4 linked regions of the Saccharomyces cerevisiae S288C genome follow. Changing the gene in region 1 together with any one later gene gives a genetic interaction. Each region holds a gene or a part of one and is shown in the gene's direction. Other genes may lie near its edges. The genes, in order: SEC59, TMN2, ACO2 and GND1.

The links.
Region 2: mutations in SEC59 (region 1) and TMN2 together harm fitness more than expected from each alone (negative genetic interaction), as found in Saccharomyces cerevisiae (one large-scale study listed by BioGRID).
Region 3: mutations in SEC59 (region 1) and ACO2 together harm fitness less than expected from each alone (positive genetic interaction), as found in Saccharomyces cerevisiae (one large-scale study listed by BioGRID).
Region 4: mutations in SEC59 (region 1) and GND1 together harm fitness less than expected from each alone (positive genetic interaction), as found in Saccharomyces cerevisiae (one large-scale study listed by BioGRID).

What each region holds. Positions count from the first base shown.
Region 1 is NC_001145.3:293,937-298,912, reverse strand, and holds SEC59 (dolichol kinase), read left to right. Parts: upstream 1-2,174; coding exon 2,175-3,734; downstream 3,735-4,976. Other genes in the region: BUD22 (Bud22p), read right to left, coding at 1-45; translation initiation factor 3 subunit CLU1, read right to left, coding at 3,946-4,976. UniProt on the Saccharomyces cerevisiae protein: Catalyzes CTP-mediated phosphorylation of dolichol, the terminal step in de novo dolichyl monophosphate (Dol-P) biosynthesis. Dol-P is a lipid carrier essential for the synthesis of N-linked and O-linked oligosaccharides and for GPI anchors.
Region 2 is NC_001136.10:667,207-672,769, reverse strand, and holds TMN2 (Tmn2p), read left to right. Parts: upstream 1-1,735; coding exon 1,736-3,754; downstream 3,755-5,563. Other genes in the region: TRS85 (Trs85p), read right to left, coding at 1-1,501; ARP10 (Arp10p), read right to left, coding at 4,912-5,563. UniProt on the Saccharomyces cerevisiae protein: With EMP70 and TMN3, plays a critical role in the late stages of a nutrient-controlled pathway notably regulating FLO11 gene expression. Acts downstream of RAS2 and TOR. Essential for cell adhesion and filamentous growth.
Region 3 is NC_001142.9:55,054-61,215, reverse strand, and holds ACO2 (aconitate hydratase ACO2), read left to right. Parts: upstream 1-2,402; coding exon 2,403-4,772; downstream 4,773-6,162. Other genes in the region: PHO90 (SPX domain-containing inorganic phosphate transporter), read right to left, coding at 1-372; MBB1 (Mbb1p), read left to right, coding at 1,034-1,360; ECM25 (Ecm25p), read right to left, coding at 5,038-6,162. UniProt on the Saccharomyces cerevisiae protein: Catalyzes the reversible dehydration of (R)-homocitrate to cis-homoaconitate, a step in the alpha-aminoadipate pathway for lysine biosynthesis.
Region 4 is NC_001140.6:467,773-472,929, forward strand, and holds GND1 (phosphogluconate dehydrogenase (decarboxylating) GND1), read left to right. Parts: upstream 1-3,187; coding exon 3,188-4,657; downstream 4,658-5,157. Other genes in the region: SVP26 (Svp26p), read left to right, coding at 1-142; RGD3 (Rgd3p), read left to right, coding at 447-2,804; SSP1 (Ssp1p), read left to right, coding at 4,972-5,157. UniProt on the Saccharomyces cerevisiae protein: Catalyzes the oxidative decarboxylation of 6-phosphogluconate to ribulose 5-phosphate and CO(2), with concomitant reduction of NADP to NADPH.

The sequences.
Region 1 (4,976 bases):
CAACTGATCAAGCTTGTAGATAGAGACGGATGATTCGGAAGGCATGTTTCCTTTGGGTTATCCGTACACTTGACCTCTTTATACGTATATACTGGTTAAATTGCTTAAAGTAGTCATTCATACACTAAATGCACACAGTGATGAGGTAGATGAGATGAAAATTTTTGCCATATGGGCCATGTAATGTCTGGGTGTTGCTTTAATCGATCACTAACAGATGAAAAAGGTAGAATGGATAAAATACTTAAAGAATTTTATATGGCTTGTGATCAGACTGACGTGCAAATCATTTGATGAGACGTTTTCTTCATTGATGTTCTCAAGAAAATATATAGCTCAAGAAGTTGTCATCACATCACAATTAGTTATAATTAACGCAAGAGAAAATTTACTCAAGTTAATATATTTGAACTCAAATATATTGAAGAGATTAGAGTCGTCCAAATAGTCAGCATTACAATGGTTCGCTTGACCCAATTTCTAAATTTGCTAAAAATATTAAAGCTCAGTACCACGCCCTGTCACAGGCGAAATATCATCAAAGTTAATCGATAAACATTCGAAAAACGCAGTTGACCGTCGTGAAATGTGGAAATCATCATAAACAATTTTTGAAATTGGAGAAAAGTTAAAAACCTTGAAACAGTTTGTACGATCTCTCATCTCTCTCAGATAAATTTTCTAGTTTAAATTGCATCAGACACTAATTGCTCTTTTCAATCATGAAGATCAGACATATGCTTGTCTATTTGAGTAATTTGTTTCATCTTCTGCAGCATTGACGTCTCTAAGGTAGAAATTTTCTTTAAAAAACATGGAAGCAATACAGACACATCAACTGATGAACTAGTTATCTGTCGATTTTTTTCTATTTCCAAATTCTTTGCTAATCGAAAAGAATAATGTAAACAGCTTCAGAAAGGCATGAATGGTAATTTTAATAGTTGTGTCTTCACGAATGATCAGACTCGTCATCTATAAATATCTCATCATAAAAACCAATTCACATAATTATACGAAAATGAGAAAAAAATCCATTCTTCCCTATAGAAAATTCTGTTAGCCCTCAGAAAAACTTACAATGGATCAGTTGCGCGGGTTTTCTAGGCCCGCTAAAGCATTGTCACTCATTTGAAAGGATATTTGTTTCCCCCTCAGTGCCCAGTGCTGTGGATCCTCATTTCCATTGTATCAAATAGATCGAAAACATCAATCTACGGAAGAATAGCACTAAAAAACTACTGTTTTCTAAGCTTAAATGTATTCTTCCAATTTATGGAAATGTGTCAACTTTCTAGTATTTATTTTAAAGGTGTTTGCTAGGTCAGGATAGTGCAAAAACGTATCAACATATACTCGTTCAGCCAGTAATTCCAGCTTTTGTTTTTGTTATAATCATCATATGAACAAACACCTTTGAATAAATATGGAATAAAAAGAAAATTGAAATGGGTGTGGTAAATGAAAGGAGAGCAGAGAAATTGAAGAAATACTACTGTATTTCTATTTAGACTTTTCCTTTCAGTTTTTTCTTCTTTATTGCTAATTAAAAACCTCAGAAATAAGAATAAACGTTCTAATCACAAAAGATTCAGAAACTCTAGTTTGTAAAAATTTATTTTGGTCATCAAGGGAATAATTAGCCTGTGATAATGACAAAAGACATATCTGAAAAACTAACTTTGATAAAGAAGAAAAAAAGAACACGGAAAAAAACGTTTTATGGATTCAATTTCTCTCTCAGCCTTTCATAGCTCCCACTCATCTGAATATTTCTTTTGTATTGATCTTTGTGATGGAAATCATAGGATTCTAATATTGTAACTTATTAAAGAGAGGAAGCATTAATTGCCAATAACCATTTCTGCGTCTCTTATTTATACCCGAAGTAATCCTAGAAGAAAAAAAAATTTTCAGAAATGAAAAAAGTTCTAGATGTATGGGTGTGCGGGTAATGCTAAGATACGTTATTGAGGGCTGTCCGCAATGGTTGGGTTTTCAGGCACGTAATTTTCAAAAGAGTTGTACACGTTGTTAGTCAAGATGGTGAAAATGGTATCGAAGGACGTATTCTATGAAAGATAGAGTTTGTAGTAAGCCAAATATTAGAATTTAGCTAGTAAATCAGACTCCTTTCGAGGCAATAAACTGTCGTTATTCTGTTCATTGCCTATATGGTCGCTATAATACCTCATGCTTCCTTTACCACAATTAAACTAACCCAGAAAACTGAGGGAAGCCAAATGCCAACTGAGGAGATCTGCAAAATCAATATGAGGACTCGTAAATTTGATGTGGGCGGGAATTCTCGAGATTTTGAGTGCTTTTATTCGAATTTTGTTCAAACTGTTATATTGTTGGGCACTTTTTTTTACTGTGTTGAAAGGCTTCAGCCGTGGTCCATTGTTACCGCTGATATATCTTATAAACAAATCTTTGTAAATGTCTTTGTGGTGTGTTTGATAATGGTTGGTCTGATATTCACAAAATATTGGCAACATGGTTACAAAAGCCTACCCAAGTTCGATACCATTTACAGTTTATATTTACCGTTTATGGTTTCGTTGTTGTTCGATACATCATCTACGGTGATAAATACTATTTTGATCCTTTCGGTATTAAATTCATATAGATGGCGAACTCAGTTGGTAGTGATCATTTTACAGCTCTGCCTCATATTTTTTAATTTTGAGGCTGGTGACAGGTTAAAGAATATTATTAGCATAGTAATAAATTCTTTACTGTCGTTAATTTTGAAGTATATTGGGCAATTGAAAAGTTTAGATAATATCGACTCTAATCTTTTTAGTATCCTATTAACCAATATTCTGTACGTTTCAGAGGCTGGCACAGTACATTTTAGAATTTTGAAGGGCATTATCCTTGCTCTCACAACAATAATTTCAATTAACTATGTGCTCAAAAAGGTAATGCACTTTAAACCGTTTATGCTGTCAATATCCTTTGCCATCGGGCTTCCACTTTTTGCCAATACCTTCATTCATTTAGAAGACGGTGAAAATCCGCTACTTTGGCTGGTAAAATATATCTTAGAGTCTACTATTCGTCAAAAGATTTTGTTTGCTTGGTCTTCAATTCTTATACTGTCCATACCAAGTATATTGATCGAGAAGGACAGTCTATCGTTGAACACCTCCCGAAAATTGTGGCATTTCATCATTTTCTTACTCATAATACCGTCATTCCAAATGGATTCAAACTTTGTGAAAATTGCATTGTCCGGAACAATACCAGTCTTCTTATCAATTGAGTACATAAGATTTCAAAACCTACCGCCGTTAGGATCTGCTATTGAATTACAACTAAGAAGGTTTGCTGATGATAGGGACCACAGCGGGCCATTGATCATATCATACCTTTATTTACTCTTCGGAATATCAACACCTTTATTAATGAATAACTCTCCAATGGGTCTAATAGGATTGGGAATTGGTGATTCCTTAGCATCTATTATTGGTAAAAGGTATGGCCGCATTCGTTGGAAAGGTACACAAAAAACTTTAGAGGGAACTCTTGCGTTTATAGTAACGAGTTTTATCGTTTGTTTGGTATTGTTACGTTTTGATAAAGCTGCAATTTTTAACCACCTAACTACTTTACAATTGCTTACCCTTTGTACACTGAGTGGAGTGCTAGAAGGTAATAGTGTGCTTAATGACAATATTTTGATACCTGCATTTATGATGATTTGTGAAAAATTAATTACTCTTTGACAAAGTCAATTATTTTCAACTTTTAAAATTACATAACTAATTGTTTGCATTTATGAATAGAATAAAGAAAAGAATAGAGCAGTAAAGAAAAAAAAATAATTGTAAGTATTTTTTTTTCGTTTTATATCTAGTACTTACACGTAGTATATACAAGTATGGGCTATAGATATAAAGAAAAATAATAAATAAACGAGATTGTTAAGTTAGCTCTCTATTTCTTACCATGCTTCTTTTTATTGTTGGTTTTGTTTTTGCTCTTAGAGTTGGAAGAATCGCCTTCTATAAATGTTAACAACTCATCCACACTTTTGTTAGCCAATTCAGGTTTAACGTCATCCTTCTTTTGACGGTGATTGGTTTTTTTATGGCCAGCTGAATTTGATCCCGTTGTCGACATTTGATCTTGTGCAAGTTGCTTCTTTTGTTTTAAATCCATTATTAATGAGCTTAAACCATTAACCCACTGTCTTGATTGGGCTGAGTGCGTGTGATTCATACCCAATTGCTTGGTGAAAATCCCTTGGGTTACAGTGATGTGCTCTAATGCACGGTGGAAATCCTTCAATGCTGCAAACAAATTACCTAAACGTGACTCGGTATAGCCATATGCTAATGAATCTTTGCCTTCTAATTCCACAACATAGGAGCTTAGTTGTCCCAAGACTTCAATAGCCAATTTGGTATCTTGAACACCTAGGGCTAATTGTTCCAAATGGTTGAAAATGCTTGTGGGGGCTGGGTGATGGATTTTTGGTAACTCATAAACTTTTAGGATTTCTGCGAGCCTATTATAAACCACAGTAGCGTTATAAGGACTTTCATTAGAGAATTCTAGAATTGCTAAATTAGTTAAAGCCCTCATCATTTCAAAAGAATCAATACCGCTAACTCTTTCATAAATAGTACATGCTTTACGACAGAACGCGATAGCTTCAGGGTATAATGCTAACTTATTATAAATGGCAGATAATGACAAGTACTTTTCAGCAACGGCGGGATGTAAAATATTGTTAACATCTTCTAAGACTGTAATTGATTGAGCGAGTAAAGTCAAAGCACTTTGTTTGTCTTCGTTGATCATAGAAGCACCTTGAGCCCAAAATTCCTCACTAACTGAAGAAGTATATTCTGAGAACTTAACACGTGGAATAATGGTCAAATCGCTTAAACTGAAGGTAGTTGGTGGTTCGACAAACTTGTTCCTAATTTTCTTGTCAAGACTTTGCTTATAACTTTCCAATT
Region 2 (5,563 bases), on another chromosome or scaffold:
CTTTACCACGTTGTATTCGTGAGCAGTTTTCGTATGTGGCTAATGCCCTTTCGATAAGAGGATTTATATCGTTTTTGATCATTTTCACGGTGACTATGCTCTGCGCACCCATCAATAGTGATACCGCGCACCATTCGATGCATGATGCCAGGTACTTTGGAAATGCATCTAGGTCATCCATAAGCGATTCGTATGTGGAATAAGCAGTTTTGAAGTCGGATAGCATCATAGACCAATCTGCTAACTTTCTCATCAAAAACTCAGAAGATGACGATGCGAAGTATTCATTTCCCTGGCTGTCTCTCGTTAGAGAATTATGTTGGTGATTACCATTGACAGGATTTTTATTCATAAATTTTTTGAAAAACTTTGCACCATTAAATAGCGACTTTCTTGGCTGTAAAATTGTCTCTTCCCAGAATGACACTTTTCTTTTCATGAATGGTATCATTAAATCATAAACCAAATAATCAAGCATATCATAGATCGAGTTTATCAAAGCCAGAGAGAGTGTTGTTTGAGTTGGAGCTTGAAGGAAGAAGAGAATTTCTTCAAGCGATGACATTACTGGTTGGTGTAACTGTATGACTGAATTTTCGTCGTAAATAAAAGAATCCTTCCAGAGTGCTAGTAAGATACTCTCAACAAACAACTGCTTCTTTAGTTTCTTAGCTAACGCCTGGCATTTTTCGAATTCTTCTTGGGAATCGTCATTGTAGCAGAGTAAGAAAACTGGAAGCATTTCATTTGTATTCATGAAGATAGGAAAGTTTTCAGTATTATGATTAAGATTCTTGAAATTGACTAAAAGATCTCTTGCATCCTCATAAACTTCGCCATTTGATATATCTAAAGCAATCAAGGAAAGAATAGGGTGATTAAAAGTTTCATAGGGCGATAAGTTATTTGTGGATGAAATTGCTAGTGAAAAGAAACTATGATAAATGGATTTCTTAAGAAGATTATGAGGAACCATTTCATCAGTATTTGCTGCAACCAATTTCAAATAATTATCTAAGAATACCTCTAAAGAATGGTAATTGAATAACATATCATTTGCATCTCTTGTTTCGATCAAGTCACCTAATGGCCTTGTAAACCTGATATATTGAGATTGCGTTGAATCCCTCTGGAAAAGACTATTCGACCTACTGCGACTACCTTTCTTTGATAAATTGGGCACTTCCAAATTTTTATTTTTGGGAATTGAATCCGTCGAGTCACTTGCATCACAAACCTCATGCTCATGCTGTCCAACCTTCGCTTCATTGGCTTGATCTCTATCAGAGACACAACCGCCAAAGAATCGCAGCAGCATATAGAGAGAATCTACTTTGTACGTTTCTTGAATATGTTTGTCGAAGAGAGGAGTTGAAGTAACTGTTATTACAGGAGCTATAGCATTTGAAATTATTCTTTTTGCAATCTCTGGAGGCACCGTTTCTTTACTGTTATCCAAATGGAAAAGGAGATTCATATAGTGCTCATAAGAAAAAACCATTATAAGTTACCTCAGTATCTGTAAAGCCGACTGAATAAAGAGGTACCGTTTGTTTGGGTTACTTACTCATTTTCCTACCCATCCCATCCATTGGTTTTTCTGTTATTTTGCCTAATTTTGTCCGAGGAAATTATGACTTGTTTACAGTTGAGTAAAATATGTTGGGAACCCTAAATTTACATCATAAATTTTGACAATTATATTAGTACACATATTGATAATTAATAATCGGTAATGAAACGAGGTGTTTGGTTGCTGATTTATTGCTATGCAACTTTAACTAAAGGATTTTCCTTGCCAGGCCTATCTCCCACAACATATCACTCAGGCGATGAAATCCCGCTATTGGTGAACCGCTTGACTCCATCAATTTACTTTCAGCATCAAGATGAGGAAGGTAACGATGTTTCAGGCGATAAAGAACATTTTCTTTACTCCTATGATTACTATAATAAGAGGTTTCATTTTTGTAGACCAGAGCACGTTGAGAAACAGCCTGAGTCGTTAGGTTCAGTCATATTTGGTGACAGAATTTACAATTCCCCATTCCAATTGAACATGTTAGAGGAGAAAGAGTGTGTTGCACTTTGTAAAAGCACGATTCCGGGAAAAGATGCCAAATTTATCAACACCCTTATTAAAAGTGGATTTTTCCAAAACTGGCTCGTGGATGGATTGCCAGCAGCAAGAAAGGCTTATGATAGCAGAACAAAAACAAACTATTACGGCACAGGATTTGAGTTAGGTTTTACAGATGTTAAGCAAACCGTTGACGGTAAAGCAGTTCCCAGTACGATGGAAGAGCTTACTTCAGAGGCCTCAAATGAGGATGTTATATTGGATGCTCGACTGCCCAAGAATGTTAAGCCTAATTTAGTTAAAACGGTAGAATTACCTTACTTTGTAAATCATTTTGACATTGAAGTGGAATTTCACGATCGTGGAAACGATAATTACCGAGTTGTTGGTGTCATTGTAAACCCTGTATCTATCGAAAGATCGTCACCTGGCGCGTGTTCTACAACGGGAAAACCTCTGATACTAGACGAGGATAAGGATAACGAGGTTTACTTCACTTATTCTGTTAAATTTGTTGCCTCTGATACAGTGTGGGCTACGAGATGGGATAAGTATCTACATATTTATGACCCGCAGATACAATGGTTTTCATTAATAAATTTTTCCGTTATTGTTATTTTGTTGTCATCTGTTGTAATGCATTCTCTATTACGGGCTTTGAAAAGCGATCTCGCTCGTTATAACGAACTAAACTTGGATAATGAATTCCATGAAGATTCTGGCTGGAAATTGGGCCATGGTGACGTATTTAGAACCCCATCTAAGTCGATGCTGCTATCCATTCTTGTGGGATCCGGTATGCAGTTATTTTTGATGGTCATGTGTAGCATTTTTTTTGCCGCAGTAGGTCTTGTGTCGCCTGTTTCCAGAGGATCCCTGCCAACTGTAATGTTTGTTCTTTATGCATTATTTGGATTTGTAGGATCCTACGCCTCAATGGGTGTCTACAAATTTTTTCGTGGACCCTATTGGAAGGCGAATATGATATTAACGCCAATATTACTTCCTGGAGCAATTTTTTTACTGATTGTAATAATGAACTTCTTTTTGTTATTTGCACATTCTTCAGGTGTCATCCCAGCGAGAAGCCTATTCTTTATCATTCTTCTATGGTTTTTAGTTTCTGTTCCGTTGTCGTTTGCGGGTTCAATTGTTGCTCATAAGCAGTGTAATTGGGATGAGCATCCAACTAAAACAAACCAAATCGCCAGACAGATTCCATATCAACCCTGGTACTTGAGAACAGCACAAGCAACCTTAATCGCTGGAATTTTCAGTTTCGGATCAATAGCGGTTGAGCTGTACTTCATTTACTCCAGTTTATGGTTCAACAAAATTTTTTATATGTTTGGATTTTTACTCTTTTCATTCTTATTGTTGACCTTGACAACCTCATTAGTTACCATCTTGATCACATATTACTCGTTATGTCTAGAAAACTGGCTATGGCAATGGAGAAGTTTTATTATTGGTGGTTTAGGATGTTCAATCTATACGTTCATCCACTCCATACTATTTACTAAGTTCAAGCTTGGTGGAGTTATTACTGTCGTGCTCTATCTCGGATATTCACTTATTATATCTGCATTATGTTGTGTCGTCACTGGAGCGATTGGTTTTTTTAGTAGTATGTTTTTTATTAGGAAGATATACTCTGCCATTAAAGTTGAGTGATTTCGTTATTCTCTCCACTAAAGTAAAAGAAGTGAATACGTTAGTTTTATTTTTTTTTTTTTTTTTAATTTTTTGAGAAGTGTTTTACTTCGCAATGCATTTATATCCTATATGTCCTGGCAAACTTTTTGATAAATTGGAATGCAAGTTTTAACGCGTTTTTATGTAGCACTAATACACTGTATTGAAGATTTTTTTTTCTTTCACAATTTGGAAACGATTATATTGGATATATATTAGAAGTTTTCCTCGAGGATATAAGAAATCCGCAAAAGGGAATCAACAATTCTATATAACAACATTATTCTCTCTCCGTTTATATTTTATATTAAATTCATTATCTTATTAAATTATCAATTCTTGCACTTCAGCTTCCATTAAATCCGATAATTGTTATGAAGTCTTCTAACAACTCATTCGACATTAATAATAAAGAATATTATTCGATATATTTATTTATTTTTATTCCGGCAATAATAAATCTGAAAACGAGTTACTCTTTCAAATGACATGATAGTTATCAAATCCAAATTCTTTAGGAGAGTGTGTAATTAGGTGAAATATTAATGGTTAACTTTCTGTTGTATTACGGGCTCGAGTAATACCGGAGTGTCTTGACAATCCTAATATAAACAGTCTTAGGGAAGTAACCAGTTGTCAAAACAGTTTATCAGATTAATTCACGGAATGTTACTTATCTTATATATTATATAAAATATGAATCATACTAAGTGGTGGAAGCGCGGAATCTCGGATCTAAACTAATTGTTCAAGCATTTATACGTTTGGGTAGTTCAGCTAGGGAAGGCCGTGTTTTATCTCATGTTGTTCGTTTTGTTATAAGGTTGTTTCATATGTGTTTTATGAACGTTTAGGATGACGTATTGTCATACTGACATATCTCATTTTGAGATACAACACTTTCGATCCAAATTGGTCTCTTGGCCCAGTTGGTTAAGGCACCGTGCTAATAACGCGGGGATCAGCGGTTCGATCCCGCTAGAGACCATTTTTATTTTTTCTCCTCTATTGTTAAAAATAGCTCTTTACTATCATAAACTTTTACATCAAAAGCTCAATAAGGCTAATTGTTGTGGAAAGACGCAGTTTGGTGAAGAGAACACTTCCTGTTTTTGTTTTCTACATATACATAAAGCCTATTGTAAGCGCTTCACTCCAGTTCTGAAGTAATAATCAAACCAATCAGGAGCAATATGAGGATTGTTATAAAACTCATCTCTTTCTATTCCTACAATGTTGCTCCCCTTATAGTGCAGAAGTATTTTCGCGCATGCAGAACCAGCCTGCCAGTAATTTTTAGGAAACTGGATTTTGGACGTATCCATTTTTAACTTGAATAAATTCCTTATTACTGTTTCATACGCCTCTTCAATGTTTACTATAATGATATTTTCTCTCAGTGGCCTTCTCAAGTCGATAGGAAGTGACTCTACAATATTTTTGACAAGATTTATTACCGGGGTTTCATCTACTTCACAATTTTTAGAGTTGTATTCTTCGTCAAAAAATATTGGCATGTAGAGACTGCCCGGGAGAGGAATTCTTGACTCAACCTGTCTTTTGCCTCGTTTTGAGTATTTTATGAACTGTTGCAAAGGTCTAAGGTCGAAAATAGGTACGCATGTAGTATAATTGGTACCTATATCTATAACTATGGCATTCCTTGTATTACAGGATAAGCAGTGCACAATGGCCCTGGGGACAAACGAAACGTGAGCGCAGTCAAATTCCTTAAACAAGATGCTACAAATAATTCTTTTCTCTACTACAGAAATGAAGATATCTTCT
Region 3 (6,162 bases), on another chromosome or scaffold:
GGAGACGGACGATGCGGAAGACGACCTTCTTTTGTAAAATATCTTTTCCTTCATTCTTCTGAAAGGAGAAGGTTTGGCAGCGACCGTCTGAGCAGTAGGCAACTCTCGCAACTCGATGGTTTCCTCAACGATGCCTGCATCTTTGTTCATACCGGAAGACGTATCTTCCTTCGCATTTTTAAAAGAAAACTTGTTTTTGAACCTATCTGTAATGTTAGAGCTCTTTCCTGCGCCAAATCCTTCTTCGTTATCACCAACCTGAAGTTCATCTGTTTGTAGCGTGTAAATAAGATTTTTCAGCTCGCTGTAGTCCATATAATGGTTTTGCCATTCTGGGACAGCATTGTACTTCAAGAAGTGTGAAAATCTCATGATCCTGTACCAGCTACCACTTACTCGTTTATCCTAAAAACAACTTTATTGGCCGGATGACATCGAAGTGAACAGTGTTCTTTATATCGATGAATCAAAATTTTTCAGTGAGCCATTCATTCTTCGAGAAGCAGCGCAAAAAAAAACAAAAAAAAAAAAAACGGCTGTAGCTGCGGCGATATTGTGAGCGCCCCGCTTTAGGGCGACTTTACCCATAGTAAAAAGGGAAGACAATAACGAAATAAGAAGAGAAGAGAACCGTGGTTTCTCTGTTGCTTAGGATCATATACGCCTACAGCAAGGCACCTCTTTATGCGTATGCAGTCATACAAGGAGTGTGGAAATGCAGCACAGATGGCCTTCGCTGCTTGCCAGGCTGCCATTTTTCTTGGCTGCTGCCGCTACTACTGATTTTCTTACCTCTGCTAGAAACCAGTGGAAATGATTTATTCACAATCTAGCACCATGCAACATACATCCAAATCAGTGGAAATACGACATTATTAGCCGGCCCTTTACGTGCCAAAGGTAATAACAGTGAACGGGAGATGGGAAGCTTAATGCTGTTACCCGCTATCGGTTGTTGCTATGTAAACCAAATATAAATGCAAGCCAAAAAAAAAGGGTAACATAAGGTTAAGTAGGAGAAGGGAGATATTGAATGTATAAGGTGTCAGCATGTGGGGTGAGGATAATGAGTGGCATATCAGAAATTTGGATTGGCGAACTTAGAGATTACAAGTACGCTTTACGTCTTGATAGAGAAGAGTATCCAGCGGTGCTTGTTTACGAGTATGACTCGTCTTCTACTAGGAACTATCTTTTTACCATAAAGTACAGCGATCAGAGGCCGAACTGGCAGCTCATTACTCGTGACGCAGCTTTAACAGCTTACGACTTACTTAACAGAGGTGGCGAGTTCACAACTCTCAGCTTTCCGGGAGCCACTATTCACCGTTCAGTCAGTGAGCTGTCCCGATTGCATTAACAATATATAAGGGAGCAGAGCGAAACAATATGAGGTTCAGTAACATTTAAGGGTCGCTATTGAGTGTTTTGTGAGATATAAGTGAGTTTTGAGATAATTGTTGGGATTCCGTTGTTGATAGAGGCTACAATATTATGTATACAGAATATACTAGAAGTTCCCCTCGAGGATATAAGAATTCTCAAATGGAATCTATACATACTAATAATACGACTATTCCTCATTCCGTTTTCATATGTTTCGTTCCTATTACACTATCAATCCTTGCATTTTCAGCTTCCATTACATTTGATGACTGATTCTCAATCTTTATGTTATCTTTTTACACCACATGTGATAGTATACTACTAAACAGTATGCGGTAGCTATACTCTTTAATGAATGGGCGAAGCCTCCCTAGTATTTTATCTTGACATATCTAAAGGATTGCACAATATTGCGATTTGTTCTCCACAATGAAACCTTCTCAATAATTGTCCGATCATCCACCCATTTCTTAAGATGATAGACGATTCTTAGTCCAATAACATTGTATCCTTTACGTTCCGTAGAATATCATGTTGTTGATCCTCTTCTCAGCACAGTGCTTATTACTCTCACATCAACATCAAAAAAATTGCTTCATGATTAAAATGTTTGTGGAATATAACCGTTAAAATAGGTCAGGCAAATATAAAATAGAAGCTTCTATGGCCAAGTTGGTAAGGCGCCACACTAGTAATGTGGAGATCATCGGTTCAAATCCGATTGGAAGCATATATTTGATTTTTTAGCAATTAATTTTTTTTTTTTTTTTTTTTTCACGCTCTTGAGTCATCGCGAGTAAAATTCCACTGGAAAATTTTTTCAATATATACAAAGTTCCACAATATCATACAGCTCTCACATCGTAGATTATGTCAATAGATGGTATGGCATCAAACATGTATATAAACTAAAATATTTTCATCTTTTCGTATTATTCGATTTGCGCACTTGCAAAAATAAGAATTTTCGACTTTCTTTAAACATAAAACTCTAAGAGCAATAAGCAAGAGATTCGATGCTATCTTCAGCTAATAGGTTTTATATAAAGAGGCATTTGGCAACACATGCCAATATGTTCCCCTCTGTATCTAAAAATTTTCAAACAAAAGTGCCACCTTATGCAAAACTTTTGACCAACCTAGACAAGATTAAACAAATAACAAACAATGCTCCATTGACACTAGCAGAAAAAATTTTATACTCGCATCTTTGCGATCCTGAAGAATCGATTACTTCTTCTGATCTGTCCACCATCCGTGGTAATAAATACTTGAAGCTAAACCCAGACCGTGTAGCTATGCAGGACGCTTCTGCCCAAATGGCGCTTCTACAATTCATGACCACCGGTCTAAATCAAACATCTGTCCCAGCATCCATACATTGTGATCATTTAATTGTAGGTAAGGACGGTGAAACTAAAGATTTACCCTCTTCCATAGCTACCAACCAAGAAGTTTTCGATTTCTTGGAGAGTTGCGCAAAGAGATATGGAATTCAATTCTGGGGCCCAGGTTCTGGTATCATTCACCAGATTGTTTTGGAAAATTTCTCAGCTCCAGGTCTAATGATGCTAGGTACTGATTCCCATACACCAAATGCAGGCGGTCTGGGAGCTATTGCCATCGGGGTTGGTGGTGCGGATGCAGTTGATGCCCTCACAGGCACTCCATGGGAATTAAAAGCACCAAAAATTTTAGGTGTTAAATTGACCGGAAAGTTAAACGGATGGTCCACTCCTAAAGATGTAATCACAAAGCTCGCTGGTTTACTAACTGTCAGAGGTGGTACTGGTTATATCGTCGAGTACTTCGGCGAAGGTGTATCCACTCTATCTTGCACAGGTATGGCAACCATCTGTAATATGGGAGCTGAAATCGGTGCTACAACGTCAACTTTCCCTTACCAAGAAGCTCACAAGCGTTATTTGCAAGCAACTAATAGAGCAGAGGTCGCTGAAGCAGCTGATGTTGCTTTAAACAAGTTTAACTTCTTAAGAGCCGACAAAGATGCTCAATACGATAAAGTTATTGAAATTGACTTATCCGCAATTGAACCTCACGTTAATGGTCCATTTACACCAGACCTTTCAACCCCAATATCTCAATATGCCGAAAAAAGTTTGAAGGAAAACTGGCCCCAAAAAGTTAGCGCTGGTTTGATTGGATCATGTACCAATTCATCTTATCAAGACATGAGTCGTGTTGTCGACTTGGTCAAGCAAGCTTCCAAAGCCGGCTTGAAACCACGTATCCCCTTCTTTGTCACCCCTGGTTCAGAACAAATTAGAGCTACCTTGGAAAGAGATGGAATCATCGATATTTTCCAAGAAAATGGTGCCAAAGTTTTAGCAAATGCATGCGGCCCTTGTATCGGACAATGGAATAGGGAAGATGTCTCGAAAACATCAAAAGAAACGAACACTATTTTTACATCATTCAATAGAAATTTCAGAGCTAGAAACGATGGTAATAGGAATACAATGAATTTCTTAACATCCCCAGAAATAGTAACAGCGATGAGTTATTCTGGAGATGCTCAGTTCAATCCGCTAACTGACTCAATTAAATTGCCAAATGGGAAGGATTTCAAATTCCAACCACCAAAGGGTGATGAGTTACCAAAAAGAGGATTTGAACACGGTAGAGACAAATTTTATCCTGAAATGGATCCAAAGCCAGATAGCAATGTAGAGATTAAGGTAGACCCTAATTCTGATCGTTTGCAATTATTAGAGCCATTCAAACCTTGGAACGGGAAGGAATTGAAGACAAACGTGCTTTTGAAAGTTGAAGGTAAATGTACAACAGATCATATTTCCGCTGCGGGCGTCTGGTTGAAATATAAAGGCCATCTAGAAAACATTTCTTACAATACATTGATTGGTGCACAAAACAAAGAAACCGGTGAAGTCAACAAGGCTTATGACCTTGACGGAACTGAATATGATATTCCTGGTTTGATGATGAAATGGAAATCAGACGGTAGACCATGGACCGTGATAGCGGAACATAACTATGGTGAAGGTTCCGCAAGAGAGCATGCTGCTTTGTCACCAAGATTTTTAGGCGGAGAGATTCTTTTAGTTAAGTCTTTTGCAAGAATTCATGAGACAAACTTGAAGAAACAAGGTGTGTTGCCATTGACTTTTGCCAACGAATCTGACTATGATAAAATATCAAGCGGAGATGTTTTAGAAACGTTGAACCTAGTTGACATGATTGCTAAGGATGGTAATAACGGTGGTGAAATTGATGTTAAAATTACTAAACCAAACGGTGAATCGTTCACCATCAAGGCAAAACATACTATGTCTAAAGATCAAATCGATTTTTTCAAAGCTGGTTCAGCAATCAATTATATTGGTAATATACGAAGAAACGAATAAATTCTGAAGAGATATTAGCTAAAAATTAAGAGTCCGATTTAATAGTCATAAGCTAGTTTACACAATTCTATAGACTCTGCATATAGACGGTGCAAATAACCTACCTATTTATTTATTTATTTACTATAAAAAACGTAATATTGTTTGATATATAATATTATACACGAGATCTCGACTGCTTCAACTACGGCTTAACTCAAGGGTGGGGGGTATTTTGTTGTCGTATATGCAATATGTATGTGTTAAAAAGATACAATTATGTAAGTTACCACCTTTGTTTCATTTCATTCATTACTTGTAAACCTTGTAAACGTTCTTCGTACAATGCAGCTAGCCTGCTAACCTTGTTGCTTGCTTTAATATCTGAATATCCCTTTTGAGAGAATTTATCTGCTGTCTTTGAAGTAGTTTCATTTTTCTTCTTCTTTTCTTGTAGTTCTTTGTCGAACTTCTTAATCTTCGCGTTTTGGACGAGGGTTAAACTTTCAAACTGTTGTACGAATATATCTGTTTCCACAGAATTTTTATCCTTTGCTGGCTCGTCCTTAACCATTTCTTTGATATTATCTGATATCGTTAAATCGGTGCTGCTGTTACTCAATGGAAGCGAGTCTGCTGATGGAGTCTTCGTCGGTGAGGATAATGTATCTGTAGAAGAAGAAGCTAATGCCAAATCTGTATTAGAATTGGAAGTTAGAGACAGTTGTGGTCGTGTAACTGCCTTAATAGGAAGTGGAGGTTTGGCATTGAATGATGGGGATGAAACATTTCTGCTTGAAGACTTAGGTTTCAAGACTGGTGTATTTTGTAATGCGACAGGTGTGTACGTTGGAGACGTAACAGATCTTTGTGGACTAGGGCTTCGACTTCTAGGAAGGGTTAAGCAGCCTAGTTCACTGTATCTGGTTGGCGACGACTTCCTTGGCTTAGGCAAAACAGGGATAGTAGAAGACGATGATACGGATGAAGGAGGTGATGATATTTCCTTCGCGATTTCGGGGAAAAAGTCCAGTAAATTTTTAATATATCTCGACCCAATAGCTAAACGATCATTAGTCATCATGGAAAGTTTTTCCTTACATAACGCCGGAGTTAAAGCTTTACTTAGGGTCCTTGAATCATGTTTAGTCGATTCACCATGCGCTATGATCCTATTAAAAAAAGGAATTATGACCATAAAGAGGTCCTGGTATTGGTTGAATTTAATAATTTTGCGGAATGTTTCACTTGTGAACTTTAGATCATCAACAATTGGTAACGGAATTAATTCAATTGGGATTAGAGGTTTGGCTTTATTCTTAATGAAGTAATTCAACCACACGGATGCCAAAGAATAAATATCCCATTGAGATAAATCAATGTAGTTGTTTCTTTTGATAATATCCAAAAA
Region 4 (5,157 bases), on another chromosome or scaffold:
AACGAACAACCAGCCAAAATTTCGTAAAAGGGCTGTTGGGTTAGCTCGTGTAGTCATCAACTCGGTAAGGAAGTACATCTACTCTCTAGCCCGTGTATTCGGTTATGAGATAGAACCTGACTTTGATAGATTGGCTGTTTAGGATTGCCTTTTTTTTTAACATGTAGTTAGTTTTTCTTTATTTGAATATTCTAAATAAGAAATATGTGTAATGCTCTGCCAACTATTTTGCACAGGAAAGAAAAATCACCAATACAATACTACTATATTTTACCCAAGTTAATACGGGAAAGTATATTTTCTTTTCCATATTTTTCTTTTTTATTGACGTTTGCATTTTTTAGAGCAACTAGTAAACAAAAAACCAGTCAGGCCCAGTAGATTAAGTATTGTCATTACATAGACAAAGGCAAGAGAAAGAGAGCATTTTCTTTCGGTCTCTAGTTATGTCTGTTAAAGAGCATAACGAAGAAGATATTATTGGTGATGAATTACAGAATTCGAGGCAACTCTCCATTGATTGCGACTCAGTTAAAATTTCACTAAGGAACACATATTGGACCAAAGACTATACAACAGGTATCAAATTATTCATAAAACATATGAAGAGAGAAAATGATTTGCTGATTAAAGACATCAAATTTTACAATGATTTTGTCAACAAATTTTGGAAACCAACATTGAACAATTTACAAAAAATGGAAGCAACCAATTCAATGAATAGCAGGCTGCTGGAAGTGATGAGCAAACAGTTTAATATAATATCAACAGAGCAAGTTGAAAGAGATTGTAAAATTCCATTGCAAGAACTAAGAGATCTTAATGAGAGCTTCCTTCGTGAGGCAGAAAACGATTTGTCATCTCGTTATTCAGCTTACATTAAGGATTTAGTCGCAGCTAAAGAGGCACTAATTGGATGTGAGAAAAGAGTTCAGTCTATATATAAATTGAAAAAAGCCAATACGCCAGTGGAAAATTCTTCCTCTGTTTTTGATAATGGAAAGGATAGTGCACCGTTAACCAGGTTGAACTTCGTATGCGAGTTTCCTTACACTTTAGACGAGAGGTTAAAATTTGAGGATTGCGACCAATTTATGTCATTTTTGCAAACCTTGAAGGGAAAAGTCATCCTGGAGAAAAGTGTCTTTTCCGTTCCAGGATTGTCAAATCAAAGTTTCCAAGGCAGGTCATTGATCAAAGAATTGAAAAAACTTGAACCCAGACTAAACCTGTCCTTATTTAATATCGATAGGATAGGTAACGAATTCATCCAACTGGGTATAATACAAGAATATTCCCTGAGTTTTTACTCTAGCAAAGTTTCTCAGTTTGACCAGGAAAAATACTATTACTGGAACAGTGAAGTCCTTGCTACGCAAGAGAGTAATGGTAATGCTGGAAACAGAAAAAAAAAATCGTATGGTGAGTTAACACACTCCGACAATGAACACGAAGAAAAGTCCAACGTTTCATCTATCAAAACATCTATATCCGATTGGATCCGCAAAGTTAGTCAACATGATAATGATGATTGCGATGCAGCGGGAAGTACAGATATGAATAAAAATGAGTGGAAGAGTTTAAAACAGCAACTTGAATCATCACAAGATATTTTTTTCTCCAAGTGTTGCCAGTTGGAATATTCTAAAGTGCAGTTGGAAAAAACCATTTATGATTATTGTAAAAATTACTCTAAAATGGAGGACGGAATCAAACGAGCTCTAGAATCATCAAACATGATGTTTCAACAAAAATGTGAAAAATTTACTGACTCACCTGTGTGTTCTCTACAAGAAGCACAACTGCCACAGGAAACTGCCAATGCGGATGTAAGAGGGTTTTTCCTCAGGGATAATGGCATACCCTTTCGCAGGTGGAATATCCTAGAAGCGAGTGATCCAGTCGACGCTTGCAAAGAAATCTCCATAAAAAGCGAAAAGTTTTTCTGTGGTAGTGAAATAAATAATGAACTGGCTGCTCTTGATACGTTAGGGGCAATAAAGATTATACTGCGGCAGATTGAAAAGGAACCAAATGCTAATAAAGTCATACAAAGTTGGCACAGGGATATTGATTTTGTAAGGGTTTCTAATTTGAAAAGAGACTTATTGGGGGAATTCAAAGGATCGAAAACTACCGAAAATACAAACTCTATAATCACTGCTCATTTTTTTGAAAACTCGCACAGCTATGTCACTAATGATCTCGTCGGACTGATAAAATTATGGCTGTTAGAGCTACCCGACAGCCTAATACCTTCAAACCACTACGATGACTTAATTAAGGCCGAAAAATCGCTAACATCCCTATGTGAACAGTTTCCGACGAGCTCCTTAAGGTTTCTACAAGAACTAGCAAACCATTTTCAATTGATCAATAGCAAATACTCACTTCCGCCGCAAACAATACAAGATTTGTTTAGAGACAACAGTGACATAGACATACCATTGGCCCATCACTTCGTAAGAAGAACAGGCTTACAGAACCCTATCGACATCAAAATCTTGTCACCAACATTATCTACATTTTTCATCAACGAAAGAACTGTAGAAACTTTGCAAACGTTGATCGCAAACAGGATCACGACGGCAACTACTGCGACACTCACTGAACCGCCGACGATAATTATAAAGGATACAACGGCACCTATACACTCTACCCCTAAGCCACCGCCAAACGACAAGGATGGCCATTTCATACCTCGGCCATTCAAGACTAGTTCTACTCCGACAACCCCAGAGAGACCTAAACGTAAGAGTGGTTTATTCCTTCCCATCAACGTCAACGATGTCCCTTCTACATAACTCCATGCATGCTACATAGTAACTACGTAAATCACCTGCTACCTCTCTGTTCTTTCGTCCCGCCTCGAGGTTGTGCTGCTTTTGTACCTATTGTGGCTGTCGGTGTTACATTACGGTGCCTCGGTGTTACGCGGTGCTTCGTCCTGGTGGTCCACGCGGCCTTGCGCTTTGGCCTTGGTGGGCTTCGAGGCTGTATTATATAAATGGGCCTGATGTTCGTTAAAAGCTGCAGTATTGTTCCTGAGCTTGTTTCTTTTTCAAAGGTTTCCTTTTTTCTTAGTGGGGTCCTTTCTTACATAATAAAGTAAATAGCCTGATACATATAAACCTGTATTGTTGCCATTACAGAAAAAAGCCACTTTCTATACAAAAACTACAATAAAATGTCTGCTGATTTCGGTTTGATTGGTTTGGCCGTCATGGGTCAAAATTTGATCTTGAACGCTGCTGACCACGGTTTCACTGTTTGTGCTTACAACAGAACTCAATCCAAGGTCGACCATTTCTTGGCCAATGAAGCTAAGGGCAAATCTATCATCGGTGCTACTTCCATTGAAGATTTCATCTCCAAATTGAAGAGACCTAGAAAGGTCATGCTTTTGGTTAAAGCTGGTGCTCCAGTTGACGCTTTGATCAACCAAATCGTCCCACTTTTGGAAAAGGGTGATATTATCATCGATGGTGGTAACTCTCACTTCCCAGATTCTAATAGACGTTACGAAGAATTGAAGAAGAAGGGTATTCTTTTCGTTGGTTCTGGTGTCTCCGGTGGTGAGGAAGGTGCCCGTTACGGTCCATCTTTGATGCCAGGTGGTTCTGAAGAAGCTTGGCCACATATTAAGAACATCTTCCAATCCATCTCTGCTAAATCCGACGGTGAACCATGTTGCGAATGGGTTGGCCCAGCCGGTGCTGGTCACTACGTCAAGATGGTTCACAACGGTATTGAATACGGTGATATGCAATTGATTTGTGAAGCTTATGACATCATGAAGAGATTGGGTGGGTTTACCGATAAGGAAATCAGTGACGTTTTTGCCAAATGGAACAATGGTGTCTTGGATTCCTTCTTGGTCGAAATTACCAGAGATATTTTGAAATTCGACGACGTCGACGGTAAGCCATTAGTTGAAAAAATCATGGATACTGCTGGTCAAAAGGGTACTGGTAAGTGGACTGCCATCAACGCCTTGGATTTGGGTATGCCAGTTACTTTGATTGGTGAAGCTGTCTTTGCCCGTTGTCTATCTGCTTTGAAGAACGAGAGAATTAGAGCCTCCAAGGTCTTACCAGGCCCAGAAGTTCCAAAAGACGCCGTCAAGGACAGAGAACAATTTGTCGATGATTTGGAACAAGCTTTGTATGCTTCCAAGATTATTTCTTACGCTCAAGGTTTCATGTTGATCCGTGAAGCTGCTGCTACTTATGGCTGGAAACTAAACAACCCTGCCATCGCTTTGATGTGGAGAGGTGGTTGTATCATTAGATCTGTTTTCTTGGGTCAAATCACAAAGGCCTACAGAGAAGAACCAGATTTGGAAAACTTGTTGTTCAACAAGTTCTTCGCTGATGCCGTCACCAAGGCTCAATCTGGTTGGAGAAAGTCAATTGCGTTGGCTACCACCTACGGTATCCCAACACCAGCCTTTTCCACCGCTTTGTCTTTCTACGATGGGTACAGATCTGAAAGATTGCCAGCCAACTTACTACAAGCTCAACGTGACTACTTTGGTGCTCACACTTTCAGAGTGTTGCCAGAATGTGCTTCTGACAACTTGCCAGTAGACAAGGATATCCATATCAACTGGACTGGCCACGGTGGTAATGTTTCTTCCTCTACATACCAAGCTTAAAGGAAATCTCCAACCTGGACATAAACCAAAAAAATTTAATGAAATAGATTAGTTATAGTAAAAGTAATCATAATAATAAATAGATAAATAAATCCAAATGCAATTATAAATAGTATATGAAGTTATGTGTTTTCTAAAATATTAAAGGTTTATAAACGGGGTCCCGAAACTATCTCCATTTCTTTTTTTTTTTTTACGTAAGGAAAGGCAAACAGGCGACACAAAATCATGAAGTCAGAAAATAAAATAAAAGTGAAAAATTTCACAATAGTGCCTATTATCATGATAGAAGTAGAGTAGAAAAGCTAGCAACAATGAGAAGCTCTGGCACATATGAGAATGATCCTTCTGGGGAAATAACCTCAACTTCCCCAAAGCAGTCGAAGCAGAAAAAGCCTACCAAATTTAGGGAAAGAATGCGCAGGTGGTTACAAAATGGGAAAAATAACAACCACCAAGGAGAGGAGGATGTTCCTGAAATATTTAACAAGAATTTTTAT